3 linked regions of the Drosophila melanogaster genome follow. The gene in region 1 interacts genetically with each later gene. Each region holds a gene or a part of one and is shown in the gene's direction. Other genes may lie near its edges.

Region 1 (6,252 bases):
TGTGCGACTGTGTGCGGGGGCATGGAATTTTCAAGACCCTGTTACTGCAAGTGCCGCCCAGGTCTTTTAAAATATAAGAAGACGAGGCTGGCATTCAAATCTCTGCCCCCAGCTCGATGACTTCACACATTCCACAGCGAACGAGAGGGGTGTGGGATCGAAGAACTTCCTTGAAAACCCCCGTCTAAGCCAAGTGAAGAACTTAAACGTCGAACCAGTTTTTGGTGAATGAAAAGCCAGCAAGCCCAAAGTTGCACACAAACTCCAAACTCAAAGCAGAAGAAACCCGAAGCGAAGTACCAGAAAAGGGGGGCCCCCACTGAAAAGGGGCAGCCTGGCAGCTAAAATATAATAAAAAGAAATTAAAATAAAATTCAAAAATGTGCAAAACGAGACCGAGAACGAGAAATGCTGCATGCCAGTCTTCGGGCATGAGGGAGCGGTACTGGAGAAGAATCTCCGTGGAACCTGTTGGACCAGTCACACACACAGGCAGGCACACCAACAACCGAATGCCACCAACGTGTTTGTGCCAGGATAAAAGGCAAGCCGGGTCGCTCCATGGGTATATATATCCATCTCTTTTCGACCCGCTCCGGAGGATTTCAAGTGTAAAACGCTGTCGCTTGTGGAATGCGCGCACACACACAAACACAAGCGGATACAACTGCATAGATAGCCCAACATTTGGCCATATTTTGCTGCACTAAATCAAGCGTTTAAACGAAATTCGAGTTGGGCCAACAAGCCAACGAGCCGAGCTAAAAGCGTTCATATTTTCCCGATCGCCAAAAAGAAGCACCATAATTTATAGATGCCGTTTGACTAAATTCGTTTAATTCCAGTCCTACCTTTACCCACACACCTATATAATATATATGCCTACGGTTTACCTGTGCGATACAAAAATAAGGAGGAAAAAAAAACGGAAAATAAGGCGAGAGAGCGAGAAGTAAAAGGGTTTTGGTTTTGGTTTCGGTTTCGGTTTCTTTGGGACCTTCGCTCTCATCGATCGTTCCGTAGTGTACATTATAATTTATAACTTTATCTAAACGATGTGGTGGTGTTTAATTTTCGACCTCACCTTTTCCAGCTCGTTTTTGTTTTTTGTTGCCGTTTCGCCATCCCATCACCATCATCATCATCATCATCATCACGGTTGTTTCTGATGTGGATTCGTTTCATTGGAGAACTGTTTCCGCTTCGCATGACTCACTTTTCGCTGTTTGCCCCGGGGTCTTGAGTCTTCTCCTTTTTTTTTTCTTATTTTTTGGGAGGTCTTTCTTTATCGCACACTAATTTGAATAGGATTCCATTTCGTGATGAACATATCACCGGGAACGGAAAACATCCATGGGGGGTGGGAGGGCGTTTGCGCCCAGCTGGACGCCCGCAACTGACCACCATGAAGTTCCCGCTGCCCTGGCTATATAGTATCTTGTTAATGAAGAAATAGATACACAGACGCCCCGAGACGCCTAGGTATTTAAGATCGAGGTCGGTGCCCGCGGGGTGACGAGTGAAAGTCCGGGGAGAAGAGGCTGGTGTGTTCGGGTCGTGCATTGTCTGCCACACCGCTGCAGCCTCAAGACAATCGCTTCGTTTTCGCAAATTGCAAAGGGAAAAAATTAACAAAAGAAAAGAAATGAAGAAAAAAAAACAAACGATACCACCACACGTGCTGTGCGAGGTCATGACACGGCTATCAATTTGAACAGAAACATTTAGCCCTAGGGAAATAGCTGCCAAGCATCTGAGACTCTTCAAAGGCGTGAAATCTGAGCCTGCTCCACGGGTTCATCAAGCCGATCGTAAAACATAGCCTATGAAATAAAATTAGAACTCATTCAGACATCAATTAGAACCGAGCATGCAAATTTCAACCAGCGGCATCGATAAAAGCCCGGATTAAAAGCCACCGGAGCACCCGAGAAGACCACTGTGAGATGGATTGATTTACGTTGAATATGCAAATTGCAGCGAGCCAACGTTGAAAGCTTTTAGAAGAGCATTTCGAGAATTTGAATAAATATTTAGGCCCATCGGACACAGAGAAAAATAATCAGAATCAAGCCAGCTCCTGTGGCAGATGACACGGCCAGGGAAAACTCGAAGTTGGTCCTGAAGAATGCCGGAACCCATAAATAAATGCGAATCACTATTGAAATATATAAAACGAAAACAGGATATGTGTCATATCAAATTTTATGGAACTACGTAGATTCATTGGCTGTCGAAATCGTTTGGCAATCATCGAAGAGAATAGATATCTTACGAAAGCTAAGCTTGCGTTACTAACTTTAATTTCCCCTTTTACTCATACTACATGCTGTTAATAAATACAACATCTTATAAATTGTGGTTGGGCATTCCTTAATTAAAATACTTTATAATATCTAATAAGCATTACAAAGTTTGTGGTTTAGTTCGAAGCTCGTTTTCCAAAACTCTAAAGACTCAAATTAATTAATTCATTTCAGATTGCGCCCTTGTATTACTCATGTATTCTCGGCGTTAACCTGTGAATTAAATTGAGTTCGCATAAACACCTCTATTCATTGCACCACTGTGCCAACATCTGTGCTCGCCGTTCTCTTTTGTTCGAAAGAGAGCGTTCGGATGGTTCTCTTAGCGCCGATTGTCGAGTGCCGAGTGTGGTTCGTGTTCGCATCGTTAAAGTTGTAGCACTCAGGGCGGATGTTTGATTTCGATGGCAAAGTCAATCTGTTCGGGTTTCTCGTCGTGGAAGGTTCGTTGCGCGCGCGGAAAAACTGAAAATATCGGTGCGAAATTCGAGCGGAAAAACGCTAGAAAAGAAGGCGAGTGCATTTCCTCGACCTGAGAACGCCGGTGGCCAAGGAGCTTTGCAATTAAATCTATTTTCGCCGACCTAAGTACACAAAACGTAGGAGAAAATTAAAAAGAAGAAAAAAAAAACAAATCTAATCGCTGGCAAATCAATTGCTAAGGAATTGAGTACTATTCGTTGTTATGTCATGGAAAGTCTCTGAATAAGTTAAGAAAATACTTGTGAGAAATTTAGCGACCTTTCAAAACTAGAAAGTAGAAAAGCAAAAAGTGCTAGACACGCGCTCTCTCTTCGACCACCACCCACCACCACCCACTATCGCCATCCCACGTTTACTACCACGTTTATTGCTCACGCGTGTTTTTGGGGCCTTTTGTTTTGTGCGCTCGTGTTTGTGGCCGTGTGTGCCAGTGTGTGTGTGTGCGTGTTAGCCGGCAAGTGCATTTGTGTGAGTGTGTGTGTTTGTTGCCGCGAACAGCTGTTCACCCAGACAGCATGCAGAAGTAAATACGAAGAAGTGCTGCAAAATAGAGTAAATAAAATAACCGGCTAAAATAAAAATAAGAGAAGCATTCAAAGGCAAATCAAATTTAGCCCCATCATCCACTGTGTCTGCACACAGAAATCACCCATCAAAAATGGCGGCCAGGAGCGTGCGGCTAGCGCAGCTTTTGCTATTTACCCTGCTCTGCGGCTTCGTCGGCCTGTCAGCCGCCAAGCACCTGGACCTGGATGGTATCCACCACCACCAGCACCACCTGCACAGCGCCACCACGCACCACAGACGTCGCCTACAGCGGGACTCGCGGGCGAAGGACGCCGTTGGGGGATCGACCCACCAGTGTGATGCCGTCAAGAGCTACTTCGAATCGATCGACATCAAGTCGAGTGGGACTTACAGCGAAAAAGGTAAAGTTCACGCCATCCATCCGTAGAGTTATAATATCGAGTATGCACTTGGACATGCGGGCTGGGGAAGAAGCGGGGAACGATGGAGGAAGTTAAAGCTACCAATATGGTTAAGGCCCCTTAGGAGCAAACGTACTAACTTTAAACTATGCAGAGGAAAACGTATGTTATTTCCCCAGGTCACTAGAGTGGTTCGAATACTTAAAGTCTAAGTTATCTACTCCATTAAATAAGAAAGAGGTACATAAATTGGGATTATTGATAATGGTTTTTCAATTTAATTACTTTTGCATCCTCTCCGTTTAAAAACATTTCTTTTGCGGGAAATTCATTGCCTTGATTTCAGAGTTTGTCTTAACCCTCGCCTCGCCATCAGTCTTCCATACTTCAACCAAGTAAATCGCGCGTCAGCCAAAGTTTTTGCCATCCCGCAGCTGCAGTTTCTCTTATTTCTAGTCCGTTCTAGACCCCATCCGCTTCTCAATCCCCGCCAGAAACTAGAAGCATATGCAAATTCATTGAACTGAGTGAAACCCTCGAGCGGGCAGCCACTCGAGGCGAACTATGACCACTCGAACAGCCGGGCGCCGTTTGCAATTAGAAGATTGCGCATTGAGCAACGCCTCGGAAAAGTTTTCGACGTGCCGTGGATAAAGTTTTTGGCCGCGCCAGGTTCATTACATATCGGATCTGGCACCTCGCAGATGCAGAGATACATAGATACACAGGCGGCGGCATCATTTGTTATTCTGATTTCTCGACACTGCCATATCAAGTGGCACGCATCTGAGGCCAAACTGTGTGAAGGCTATGGAAGGTATATTTATATTTACCACAGCCGATATCCACAAGATACTCGACATATTTTTGTTTATGCATATTTCATACCCGAAGTCAAAAATAAGACCGAATAACCAAATAATGCAATACAATCCGATAATATCAGTCGAAAACGAGCGAATGTACCCAATATATATCTGTTTCGTGTAATTGAGTGAAAAATAATTATTATTGATTAGCCGACCTTGACTTGGTATTTACGCGTTTACGCACAATTACATGATACACAGCCGCAAACTCGACTGGAATACAAATGTATCTGGCGATGATGTTGCAACTTTTCCCTCCAATGCTTACCTGTCTGCAGAGGTTCTCGGTTCTCTTTGCTCATTCTGTTCAGTCGTTCCCACACGCAGGTAGTTAACGCCAAGAAGAACTATCTATGAGATACATTGCTGAGCAGACCGCATTGCCATGGCATCAAAGTGTGAAGAACCGAATAGCCAACCGAGAGTTGGCGTTACAAGTGCATGTTTGTGTGTCCCAGAGACTTATCCACCTGAATGCCAGAATGCCCAATTGAACTGGTAGCTGGAAGTTATTAGCGCTGGCTTTGAGGAATTTCAATTTGGCTAATGCCAGGCGGCGTATCTCCGATCAGCACCTATGTATGTATCTCTGTATCTCTGGTCGTTGCTCCTGCTTAAGTATGCCGAACCTTGTTTTCGACATTTATTTACTGTTTACATAGTTCCACTTGCGCCTGCCTCCGCCTCCGTAGAATTTATGCCCCGCCAATGTATCTATGTATATCTGTTAATGTATCTGTATCCGTACAGTACGTATCCGTATCTCCATCTATATCTCTTTCTGTTTGCTCTGGAGTGTGTTACTTTTACGTTTATGTGCTGTTTGTGATGCTAATCTCTCGTCGGTGCCATGCATACGATATGTTTCTCCCGATTTGCTTTTGCCGTGCAGTTCCCGGTAGAGGCGCTCGGCATAAAACTAAATTTTAATTTAATTGCGCACACCACTCGACTGCTAATTGAGTTGGCTTTGCTTTTGGGCCAAAAAAAAAAAACAGTATTACTCCGTGCCTATTAAAATGAACATTAACATTGGCGCGTTACAAAGACGCACAGGAAGTCGTAGCTGCAGTATCTAATCGTATCGCACAGTATCTGTATCTGTTTACCTGCAAGTATCTGTAGTATCTGTATCTATGCTTAAGGCATAGCAGTTCCAATGCCCCCGACCGTGTTACTAAATATTTAAGCAACTCGCAACAGAAATTAGAGCAAGCCATGAGATATGAGCCCATGTATCCGCGTATCTCCTCCGCCGGCAAGTGTTTGTGTGCCGCCTGGCTAGATAAGTGAAAAGTGCAAATAGAGAAGGCAAAGGCAAACGTGACTCGTTTGGAGCGGGGAAAACTGCTTAGCAGACAACTTTTCAAACGGATTCCATTTCCCTGACATGTACGTAGGTATGCATACCTGCAGTTTGGGTGCGTGGGCCTACGCTTATGCTTTTGCCATCAAAGGAGCTCATCCTCGAGTAAAAATTTTAATTAACTAGAGAACTGCGCATATGCCCCAATCCCATACCCAAATCATTAGTGGTTAGAGGAAGAGCAGCACAGCTCACTATCGCTCGGCACTGCCAATTAAAAGTTGAAGTTCCATTCCATGTGAGATGGCAAATGGCATAGAACTCCACTTAAGGCTTAACTGCCAACATAAATGTGCCAA
Region 2 (5,998 bases), on another chromosome or scaffold:
CAGCTACCAACACCACCCCTTACATACAAGCATGTTTACGCTCATGTGTGTGCGTTCGGCTCACGCACACTGATTCCATTAGACGCACACATGGGCAGCTGTGCGTGGAACATTCCAAATTATGCTGACATGCTGATGCGGTAGCACAGGATTATGCTCCCCTGGTACGAAATCTACCACGAAAGAATGTGTACGAGTATGTGACGGACGTATACACGTGTCGCCTGAGTACACACACTGAAATCTGTCGAGTGTGCGAGATGCTGCCACTCTCACAAGGGCGAAATCAAAGACACAGGACCGCGATTTCGTGTGTGTGTACGTGTGTGCGTGTGTGTGTGGGACGCGACCTTGAGCAGAAGTAGCGCACTTAATGCAGCCGCAAGAGCAACCCCTAAATTGCCAGCAGCCGCAAACAGTGGTGTTCACGATAATAAAATCACAGCAACGAACTACATATACTTATTAATGTAATAATAATTATTTTCTTTAAAAATAATACGAATCTCAAACTTAACTAATAAGAATTCACTGAAAGAAGCCAAAAAATATGCTATGATGTCCTATGCTTCCTAAATATATTCCCGAAAGGGTAGAAATCTATAATTTGAAATGCGCTGTCCCCCCAAATTTTAAACCTGATACCTTTTCAACATCAGGATTCGTATTTAAATATGAAAATTAATAACTTGTGCTACATTTCTAGCCGCAACTGTGAGTTAAACCCACCGGGGTGGGTGCATCAATGTAAAGACGTAGTAATGCCGCTCCCGCTGGCCGTTCTGTTCGCCTGGTGCACTAAGGTTGCTCCTAGTTACGACGTAACTGTTAACCGGTTTGGCCCGTCGGCAGCGCTGCTCCTGCATGTTACCGTTATGTAATGGCCTCGACAATGGTAACGTGAAAGAACCCATCCCACTCGGTGGGTGGGCCAGCGGGGCAGGCCGTACGCTTTACTCCGCCCCGTAGATCACGCCCTAGTGGGGTGACATGCGCAATGGCATCGAGTGGCGTTGGGTTGCCCACTGCGATTCCTGGTCGCCTGGTAATCCTTGGGCGTTACCTTAAGAAGGGTTAAACCGCTGATGGACACGTGTCTGTCGAGTTGAATGTGCTGCCGCTGCTGCTGCTGCTGAGGTTCTTGGCCGCGTTCTTGGCAAAAATCACAAAGAGCCAGTCCGGCGGTGCCGTACTCGTTTTGGGCGCCACCCAGTGCCCGTACTCGCTAATTGAAACGCTCCGCGGGACTCGGAGGTTGCCGGTGCCTGTGACCCACCCACTTGGGCGGGCAGAATCGCGACCTGCCATCCACAGGGGCGTAGTCCGTGCCATCGTGTTCCTGTGCCAGTGGTTGTCAGTGCTGCATAAGTTCTGGCTGGAAAGTAGACAGATGAAGTAAATTTGATTACTTTTTAATATAGTGGTATGTACATTTTATAAACAGATAATTTTAAATTCCACAAGTTTTGTATTAAGATTTCTCAAAATAATTATTCATGTAAAATTGATTTGATTTTAAATAAACCTTCTCATTATTTGTTTTATTAGGTTTTTAAATAGCCAAATCATCAGCACTAGGGGTTGCACAGCCATCGAAACCCACCCCTAAAGCAAGGAATGGCAATGTCAAGCGACACACCCCTCGCGCACGCACAGACACACGCACACATGGACAGGCAACGAGTCCTTTCGATTTCATTACGTTCATTATGTGAGGGGTGTCCTCTGAATCACACATTCCACACTCCTCCTGAAATTGATGTGCGCCTGGTATTAGACCTCAAGCGGAATTTCCTTTCGTTTGATTGTAAGTTGTGGGAACGTGCAACAGCATGTGTGATGAAATTCAATTATTAAAATATTACTATCTTACCATCTATTATTACCATCTTATTATTGAATACAATAACTAAATATTTTTGTATAAGTTAAGTAACTTTTTACTTTTGTTAATTACCAGTTTTATTATTATTATTTATAACTAGATACAAAGAAAACAGCGATAATTAAGCTTATCTCGATAGTTATTACCAGCGATTACAAATTTTCCAATTGGTTTTAACAAACAGTCCATCCCTCTTATAATCTATTTTAACGATTTAAGGCATGTTTCAAGGCTTTTAATATGCAAAAATGCACAAAAACAACAAATAAAATTACTAATCCGTTTCATACAAAGAACAGCTGACAAAAAAAAACGACCGAAACCTAACGGTAAATAATTCAAAAGATTAGGGAATACCCCAAATGGTATTTACTTTTAGACCGTGTGGTATTTTCTATCGTTATCGGCGCGGTCATACTGGTAACGTATTGGTTACTATTATAAAATATTTGGCAATCTCGTTCTACTCGCTGGCGGCCAAATAGCTGCAGAATGTTTGAGCAGCTGGCCTGAGAGCTAGTGCCGGCTGCCCGAGCCTAGTACCCCGGACGTCCAGAACATCTTGAAGCTCCAAACGCACCGCACGCACATCTGGCAGCCGATTGTAAACAAACTCGGGATATGGTAATTAGATGATGCCGATTTGGAGTGTGCGAATCATGCAAAAACTAGTTTTCAGAGCCGCGCCGGTTGTTGAACTCTTGACACTTGACTGGTAATAGATTATCGCCCGCGGGTTCAATAGGAATCGGAGAATCGGTCGAGTCAGCAGCACCGGGCATTCAAACCGAGAGAGCCAACGAAACGCGCCACATGTACGCCTATAATAAGATGGGTCGGGTTCCAGAGCTTGTTATATGGTGAGAACCCAACGAAGTTGAAAATCAAATTAAACTAATCCCGCCCTTAAAATCTGAACAGCTCCTTCATAGTGGTCACCCTGCTTGTCATACACTTCTTCTCGGATCTGCTGAGAGCCTCCCTAGGCGGCTACTACAACCAGGATGTTACACTTTCCCAGCTGGTTGAGTCGCAGAACTCGGACTACGCATGGTTCCTTAAGCTGCTGGTCAATTGCTTTGGTTATAGCTGCGTCTTTGTGCCGGGCTTCTTGATCTACAAATATGTCGGCAGGATTAACTACCTGGAAAGAGGCAACAAGACATTCCTGCACAAGGCTATCAATATGTGTATCACGGGTAACTCTGGATACGATCAGTTGGATGCAGGGACCAGCACCGCGGATAAGGATCGTCCGGCAGCCTCTACGGCACCAAAGCGAACGAGTTCCCAGGAGGCCGTGCAACTATTATGGTGCTTTGGCGGCCTGATGATCTCCTATCTTACCTGGGGTGTACTGCAGGAGAAGATAATGACTCAAAACTATCTGAACTTCACTGGAGAAAGTGCCAAGTTTAAGGACTCTCAGTTCCTGGTGTTTTCCAATCGTCTGCTGGCCTTTCTCGTGGCGCTGGCCTATCTACAATGGCAGCCCTCACCTGTGCGACACCGTGCACCTCTGTACAAATACTCCTATGCCTCCTTCTCGAATATAATGAGCGCATGGTTCCAGTACGAGGCCCTGAAGTTTGTCAACTTTCCCACCCAGGTGCTGGCCAAATCGTGTAAGATTATACCCGTTATGCTGATGGGCAAAATCATGTCTAAGGCAAAGTACGAGAGTTACGAGTATGTGACGGCCCTGCTCATATCGCTGGGCATGATCTTCTTCATGAGCGGCTCCTCGGACAGCAGCAAGGCCAGCGGAGTGACCACGCTCACGGGCATTTTCCTGCTCTCCATGTACATGGTCTTCGACAGCTTCACTGCCAATTGGCAGGGATCGCTCTTCAAGAGCTACGGCATGACTCCGTTGCAGATGATGTGCGGCGTCAACCTGTTTTCCTCCATTTTCACTGGAGCCTCGCTGTCCATGCAGGGAGGATTCATGGACTCCTTGGCATTTGCTACAGAGGTAAATATATATAAAGATATCAAGCTCTCAATTTATGATGATATCCATTTTAATCAAAATAACGTAGCATGTTCTGAAATTGAAAGAATATTTGATTTGTTTGTGTTTTGTGGTTTGTGATTTGCATAACCCAAATTGCAAAATTATAACAAAATAACAATAGATTTTAAAAATTTAACGTTTTTTCAAGTAGCTGATATATGTAAGACACCAGATGGTACTTTCTCACTGTTTTTTTGTATTTTTCTCCAGCATCCTAAGTTTGTGTTTGATATGGTTGTGCTTTCCGTTTGTTCAGCGGTCGGACAATTGTTTATCTATCATACAATTGATGTCTTCGGCCCAGTTGTGTTTACGATAATAATGACACTGCGTCAGGTGAGTTGTTTTGAGAGTGTGGAATGGGGGTTTGTTTAATCAACTGCCTGCTTACGAGAAATTTCATTCTGCTTCCCACAGGCGGTGGCCATTATGCTCTCCTGCTTCATCTACCAGCACAGCATATCGCTGTTGGGCATCTTCGGTGTTCTGATCGTTTTCGTTGCCATCTTCCTGAGGGTCTACTGCACCCAGCGGTTGAGGGCCATTCGGAAGCGGGCCGAGGCCAACAAACCGAAAATGGCTGTCTAACTAGGGACGTAGACTCCCTTCGAATACAACGCACAGACTTCCTAGCTCAGCCTTTTATTGTGCTCATAGTAACCCATGGCAGATGCCACTTCCAAAGCCCAAACAGAAGCTGCTCGGACTCTCCAAAAATTGTACAGTTTTGTTTTCATAGTTCTAAGTTGAATGTATACTTATATCCTAATCATAAGCGTAGACGACTAGTGAATGTGCTTAAATAAACATTTTATATGTATACGGCAATGATAACAGTTTTCAAAGGAAATTAGATATTTGCTTTTTTTTTTGTTTAACATTTAGGTTTCACTGTATTGAGAGAAATCTATAGCTATAAGGTATCTTTTTCTGAGAATTCAGTTTATATTTTTCTATGTTAAATTGATTATCCAAAAACAACTTTACTAAACGGGCTACAATTTGTAAAAAGATTTCAAATCTTTGAAGATAGATGAGATGATTCATATTATAATTATTATAATAATTATACCACTTTAATAAGGCTTATTTTGGCAGCATTTTTTATCAGATATTAATAGTAGTGCAGAGCGTCATAAATTGGGTTGCCGTTGGCGAAAAAAATTGATTAATGTGAGAAGCATCCGTGCATCCCCCCAAACCTAATTAGCTTAGCTCCCATATTAGCGATACTTGGTGCAGTCGGTAAACTCGACATTGACCCACTTTCGGGTTACATTTTTGGCAGAAACGTGGTTTTGGCCAAAACAGCGTTGGGTGAGAGCTTCCATCGCTTGGTTCAGGTCAATGCACATGAGTCGCCGAGTGTAACATGTTTTTACTTGGCTATTGTTGTGCCATGTGGGCGATTATACTGATGATGATGAGGTTGATGATGCCGGTGGCTCGGGTGGGCGGCCTGAATTACCATATCAAAACAATGCCCTGGAAAAATTGAGCCAATAAAAAAGGGCATTATGCAATATCGCCGGTGTCTGGCTGCCTTCTAAGGGAATAGCAGCCAATTTGCCAAATTCGAGTTGGTTTTTTTGCGCACGGGCAAGGTGATAAGTTGGGGCGTACTCCGCATTAGAGGAATAGTTTGTGCTCATCCCGCCGAGCGTGCAGAAGTCTTTCAGCAATAGAATCGCGTTTTCAATATGAAACTGTTTCTTCTACTCCTTCTGGGAGCCTTGGGCTATTCGTTGGCCTATCCGCGCACCTATAGTTACGAGTATCCCCGCCGAAGGGCCTACTCCACATCGTATTCCGGGAATTCGTATAGCTCTTTGGCCGGTCGGAAGGCTAGGGAAGAAAGTACCACCAGCAAATCGGACAAGGAGAATGCCAAGTTTGCTGGTGCTTCCAATCAGGAATTGGATGAAACCGGTGACGAACGCACACTGCTGCTTAAAAAGAAGCTCAAGAGGTTGGCCAGGCCCTACCTAGGAGGATATGGTGGATATGGCGGATATGGTGGATATGGCGGATATGGAGGATACGGCGGTGGTCCCTGCTCCCCGTTTGGTCGCGATGCTCGAGGTGGTCAGAATCAG
Region 3 (6,004 bases), 7.3 Mb from region 1:
CAGCCGGGAGCACGTGCTGGAGCGCATGGTGGCCGCCATTCAGCGGTGGAACATCAAGAGCGAGCGGAACATCAACTACCGCAGCTTTGAGCCGATCCTCAGCCTGGTGCGCTGCTACGAGACGCCCCAGTGCCAACATTGGGCTGTTTGGGCCCTGGCCAATCTGACACAGGTGGGGGAGCAATTCCTTTTCCCATTGTTGGTGCATTGTGTACTAACTTCTGCATTCCGTCACAGGTTTATCCCGAAAAATATTGCAAGCTGGTGGAGCAGGAGAACGGCATCCAGATCCTCAACGAGCTAATCGAGCACGAGAGTCCCTACTGCGAGATCAAGCGCATCGCTCGCCTGGTCATAGAGCAGTGCGACTCCGGATCGGAACGCATGGTCGTCGACGGCTAAGCGGATATTTAGGATAACACGTAGCTTTAGGAGTCGAGTTTGTTGTAATGTTTTTTTTCTGCTTCCTCTGTTTCCCGTTTTAAAGCAAGTGCATGTGTTATGTGGTTCAAGAGATTCTTCCTTGACTTTTATGTTTACAGCGAGAGCAGCAGATACATAGATGCAAGTTTAAACTATGCGAGAGTTAAGCAACTAAATCTAATGATGCAGAAATATTCGATAATTACATAATTACTAGATTATATATGTATATGATGTATCACATGTTGTAAGCCAGCGATCTTTTTAGGCCTTCAGAAGTGTAAATATTGTTAAAACCGGAAAGAGGAAGACATTGGAGTAGCAAGCAAGGCTGCTGGAGATTAAATAAATCCTTAAGAATTGAATTCCCCGTGGATCGATAGTTCTTTCTCTAGCCACATAGACGAGTGTATGGAATCTGTTCTTTGAATTGTGGTCATCATACGATGCTCACTTAACCCCCCCACATTTGCTGTGCTTTCGCATCACGAACCCAAGTAGCTGCAAGTTCAGGATCGGATCGTTCAAAATAATCTAGCTATATAATCTAGACCACTAGGCTAGGCTTAAGCAACTGTAAATATATTGCAAGTAACAGTTTTGAAAGTTCTGCGCTTGGCATTAATATTTATAACAGTGTACGTTACCATTAGTTACCTTACATTACGTATATACATATATATAATTTGATTCGTAAGCGACATCACGCCTGTGTCTTACCAAAGACCCTAGAATAACAAGATGCGTAACGGCCATACATTGGTTTGGCACTATGCAGCCACTTTTTTGGTGACGGCCAAAATTACTCTCTTTCCGCTCACTCCCGCTGAGAGCGTAAGAAATCTAAAAATATAATTTGCTTGCTTGTGTGAGTAAAAACAAGAGACGAGAACGCGTATAAGTGTGCGTGTTGTGCTAGAAGACGATTTTCGGGCCAAAATCAATTCTGATCGAAGAAACGAATTTACATGGTACATATTAGGGTAGTTTTTGCCAATTTCCTAGCAATATGATAAAATAAAAAAATTTTTAAAAATTCGCGCCCTGACTATTATAATTTTAAAGCTTTTTTAAATTTGTTTGTTAAAATCGCCGCTTGAATTAGCTACCGTTTACACATTTATATTTATGTTTAATTCTAATTTGTCTCTCATCTGACAATTTTTTAAAAGCGAAATATTTTTTTGAAACACTTTTAATGTTAATGTTACATCATATTAAGTCAAATGATTTAATAAATATACTAAATAATTAAATATGCAATTAAATTAAATTGCAAAAGTAATATCAAAGACAATAGAATTATTCTAGTGTCTTTGCTTTGTTCCACGGCCAAAAAATCGTGTGCCAAAAAATCGTATGGCGTTACGCATCTTGTTATTCTAGGGTCTTTGGTCTTACACTTTCCTTACCATCCAAAATCACACGATTCTTACAGTGGAACTTTTCTTAAGTTTATTATTTCTGCTTTTGATCGATTAAAGTAATTTTTAAAAATATTTTGGTACAGCTCTTACTCAAATAAAGCTCAGGAACTTCCATTTAACTTATCTATTTGAAATCATTATTTTTTTTTAGACATCATTAAAGAATGAATGCATCACACATTTAAGAAATCTGTTTTTATCATATTTAAAACGGATTTTTTGAGTTTAGGGCTAGAAAGTTTTCCAAATTAAAAGTTTGCTCTACAAAATACATTCATTAATTCGACTTCATTCATAAAACATCATTTCACAATCGCAACTTTGTAGCACAGTGTGGAGTGGAGTGTGCCAACCAGAGCTTTGTCTTCATCATATGTATGTGATATGAGTAAGTTTCAATAAAGCTGCATCTCCCGTGCAGTTTCATTCATCAAGTTTTCAGCAGTGAATCACTAACTAGTATGAAAACTAGTGATGATTTTAACATTGGCATTCCACGGTGCAAGTCGCGGGGTGTGGGGTGCGTAGCCGCTGTTATTATCGAAGTGCAGGGTATGTAAACATTAGGGGGTGTGAGTGGCCAGCTCTGGAATTGCGTCATGCGCCCCCTCGCAGAGCGGGTGGGTGGGCGCAGGGGAGGAAGGAAATGCCAACGGGTTGGAAATGCTTTCCAAGCTGAGCGCATGTGCCGTGGGAATCCGAATCCCCTGCATCCCCCAGAGAGACACTCTCTCTTCTCAATTTTGGCAGCTCTCCTTGGTCAGTTGTCATTTTGCCGGCGGAAAGTTCGCGTGTTTGTTTTTGCCTGGATGTAAATGTGCAATAGTTTTGCGTTCGCGGGTGCAAGCAAAACGGTAAATAAAAGTGAAATAAATGAAATAAAGAAAGCCAAAGGCCAAGCAGAGAAGCGCAAGCAAGAAAGTCCTGTGAACCAAATAGAAAGCAAAACACACGGGGGGTAGCAATCAAGCCAATTCTCCTTCAATGGAAGGAGAAGAATGCGCATTCCATTCATTCGCTAACAAAACCATTCAATCAATGCCAATTGCCTAGTTTAATTCAACAAAATGAAAACAAAATTGTTCCGGCAATTGACGAGGCGTAAACAAAATGCAAAACAATTGTTTGCCAGCCGGATTCTGCGCAGTGTGCCTTATATTTCCAGCAGGATCAATAACCTTCTTATCAGCGGAAAATAAGGGAAAACGACAACAAACCGTTGACTTGGCAATCAAAACAAAGGGCAAAAGCAAAAAGGAAATTTGTTTGCCGGCCATGAAATAGACTATGGTATTGAAAACCAGCAGCCTATGATTATCCGGAAGTATCTCTCTGGGCCCGCGGAAAGTGCAACAATTCTAGTAACGTCAAATTGCAACAAACTGATTTCACAGGCCCCCCCAACCCCAACAAACAGAAAATCTTAATTTCTTTTCTTAAGAAAACGAAATGAATGAATTATTTTTTTTATTCATCTCGACACAACCTCGGCGGCACTCGAACCGCCACTCGAAAAACGTGAGCACGCGTGAATCGACATCTCAGCGCACTCGACCAAATCGGTGGTGGAATTTATGTCGTTCAAACTGAACTGCCTCCAAAAGAGCTTTTGAGTTAAAGAGATTGAAAAGCTCTGCACAGTGGATCCACTTGGCGAATTTCGAAAACAAACATTTTAAAAATATATAACAGCTATTTACTTTTTTTGTTTCAAATTATTATTTAAATTTCTACAATATTGGGGAATAAAAGGACAGACAAGTTCGGAGCATAATACTTGATAATTACTTTTCCGCAGCTGAACTCTAATCGCTACAAACACTGCCAAACCACAACACAACGATCCGCCCTGATCCCAAAACCAAATCTGGATAGCCAGGAACAGCAGGATGTGGCCCGGCTCCGAGCGAGGAAGCTCGCGGGCCCTGGAAATCCCAACCAGCCAGCAAAATGCCGGCGGTAGTAGTCAGCAGGAGACTCTGGCCGACATCGAGCACATATCCACCATTGCCGGCTCCCTTGCCTCCATTGGATCCCTCTCGCACACCCAAATGCGCTATGTAAGGAGCCGGAGTTGCTTGTAAAGATCGTATCTCTAACTCTAATTACCCGCAGCAATGCACCAATGATGCCGGCTATGATACGGAACACACGTCCCTGAACTCGGACTTCGATGAGGCCGAGCTGCGACGGGAGCTACTAAGAGATGTGAGTTCCAATACGAAAATCCTGAACATTACTTATTATAATTCCTTCTTTCTTCACTTTACTTACAGAAATGGAAACTGCTCTTTGACATGGTGAGTAAGCCAACCCAAAAAGGAATACTTATAATTATACTTATTTATAATTACTTTTCACGCTTTGCAGTTCGATCCCGAGGGTTTTGGCGAAATATCAGTCGAGGAATTCCTGGAGGCCCTCAAGTCGCCGGAGTTCCTGTCCCAAGTGCCTATGAACAAGCGGGAGCTGCTGCTGGAGCGGGCAAAGAAGGCGAAGCTGCCCACAGGACCCGGCTACGTGACGTTCCAGGACTTTGTGAATGTGGTGAGTGTGCCGTGTGCCGCAATTACAATCGCCGGTGGTCACTGGCCAAGTAACCAAAGTAACCAAAGTACCCAAAGCACCCATGCCATGCGTATATTTGTCCCGGGCTGCTCATCAACGGCAAACTCGATTTAAGTGCAAACACAGGTGCAAAGTACTCACCCAGGACGAGGTCCAAAGTGTAGGCTCGTGTTCAAACAGACGGAGGACAAGGCCTCGTCCTGGCAGGAGCCGCACTCTTGTTTGGCAAATGCAAAAAGTGCGCTTGGCAAATAAATGCGCCGCTTACGCTTACACTGCGAATAAAAGGGGGTTACTTACTTTTATGCTAGTACCTATGGACACCTTGTTCCGGAAGCAGCAATGTATTTGAATGAAATACACTGCGCATTAAGTTATTTGAAGGATATACCAAGGACATCGATTGTAGAAAAAGTTAGACCATAGTTTTTCTGTATGTAAGCCCACGTCTCGTTTGCTTCCTTCGCCACGCTTGGCCAGGCATTTGAGTGTTTGTCCTGGTTACCTGGGCACTGGCTATTTGTCCTGATGTGGTCCGAAAATACTACCTTGGACTTGAGCTGTGCAACTGGAGGGGAGTGGGCGGCAGAGGTGACTTCTGCGAGCGAATGAAGCGCTTTTCTCGGCTTTTCCTTTGATTGGCAGGGCAATCCTATTGCATTTTGATTGATTCTACCCAGTTGATTGGCACGCACACAAACCGCACACGACAAAACACTCATGCATAATCAATTGCACAGTGAATATTCCTTCGCCTTGGCCGTTCGATTGTTTGCCAAAGTGTCCTTAAAGTCATGAATTAGCCAGGCCGACGTGTCCTCATTTGCCCCTGTGTGTGTGTGTGTAAGTGTGTGAGTGAGTTTGGGCAAAGACACTAGAATAACAAGATGCGTAACGGCCATACATTGGTTTGGCACTATGCAGCCACTTTTTTGGTGACGGCCAAAATTGCTCTCTTTCCGCTCGCTCACGCTGAGAACATAAGAAATCTAAAAATAGAATTTGCTTGCTTGTGTGAGTTAAAAACAAGAGACGAGAACGCGTATATGTGTGCGTGTTGTGCTAGAAGACGATTTTCGGGCCGAAATCAATTCTGATCAAAGAAATGAATTTACATTGTACATATTAGGGTAGTTTTTTGCCAATTTCGTAGCAATATGATGAAATAAAATAATTTTTAAAAATTCGCGCTCTTCTTATTATAATTTTAAAGCTGTTTAAATTTGTTTGTTAAAATCGCCGCTCGAATTATCTACCGTTTACACATTTATATTTATGTTTAATTCTAATTTGTCTCTCATCTGACAATTTTTTAAAAGCGAAATAATTTTTTTGAAACACTTTTAATGTTAATGTTACATCATATTAGGTCAAATGATTTAATAAATATACTAAATAATTAAATATGATAACTGTTTATTGCAAAAGTAATATCAAAGACACTAGAATTATTCTAGTGTCTTTGCTTTGTTCATATCTTGAGGCACGAAATGCGGACACAAGCACTCAACAATCATTGCCTTATTAATTTTTCACACGCCGCAAGATGAATACTCTAATGACAAATATTCTTATATAAAGTCATG

The links.
Region 2: of dally (region 1) and sll, changing one enhances a phenotype caused by changing the other (phenotypic enhancement), as found in Drosophila melanogaster (one study listed by BioGRID).
Region 3: of dally (region 1) and stet, changing one suppresses a phenotype caused by changing the other (phenotypic suppression), as found in Drosophila melanogaster (one study listed by BioGRID).

Annotation. Positions count from the first base shown.
Region 1 is NT_037436.4:8,824,786-8,831,037, forward strand, and holds the start of dally (division abnormally delayed), read left to right. Parts: upstream 1-2,719; 5' UTR 2,720-3,447; coding exon 3,448-3,718; intron 3,719-6,252. UniProt on the Drosophila melanogaster protein: Cell surface proteoglycan that bears heparan sulfate. Functions as a coreceptor for growth factors and morphogens, such as the products of dpp, to regulate signaling and distribution of these ligands.
Region 2 is NT_033777.3:17,603,821-17,609,818, forward strand, and holds sll (slalom), read left to right. Parts: upstream 1-2,285; 5' UTR 2,286-2,509; intron 2,510-2,557; exon of another isoform or gene 2,558-2,564; 5' UTR 2,565-2,698; coding exon 2,699-2,745; intron 2,746-2,806; coding exon 2,807-3,860; intron 3,861-4,112; coding exon 4,113-4,238; intron 4,239-4,319; coding exon 4,320-4,490; 3' UTR 4,491-4,721; downstream 4,722-5,998. Other genes in the region: CG14329 (uncharacterized protein), read left to right, coding at 5,603-5,998. UniProt on the Drosophila melanogaster protein: Mediates the transport of adenosine 3'-phospho 5'-phosphosulfate (PAPS), from cytosol into Golgi. PAPS is a universal sulfuryl donor for sulfation events that take place in the Golgi.
Region 3 is NT_037436.4:1,486,152-1,492,155, reverse strand, and holds the start of stet (stem cell tumor), read left to right. Parts: upstream 1-2,608; 5' UTR 2,609-2,704; intron 2,705-3,110; exon of another isoform or gene 3,111-3,250; intron 3,251-3,324; exon of another isoform or gene 3,325-3,417; intron 3,418-3,648; 5' UTR 3,649-3,739; coding exon 3,740-3,910; intron 3,911-3,965; coding exon 3,966-4,058; intron 4,059-4,126; coding exon 4,127-4,150; intron 4,151-4,220; coding exon 4,221-4,397; intron 4,398-6,004. Other genes in the region: CG12084 (uncharacterized protein), read left to right, coding at 1-172, 238-402.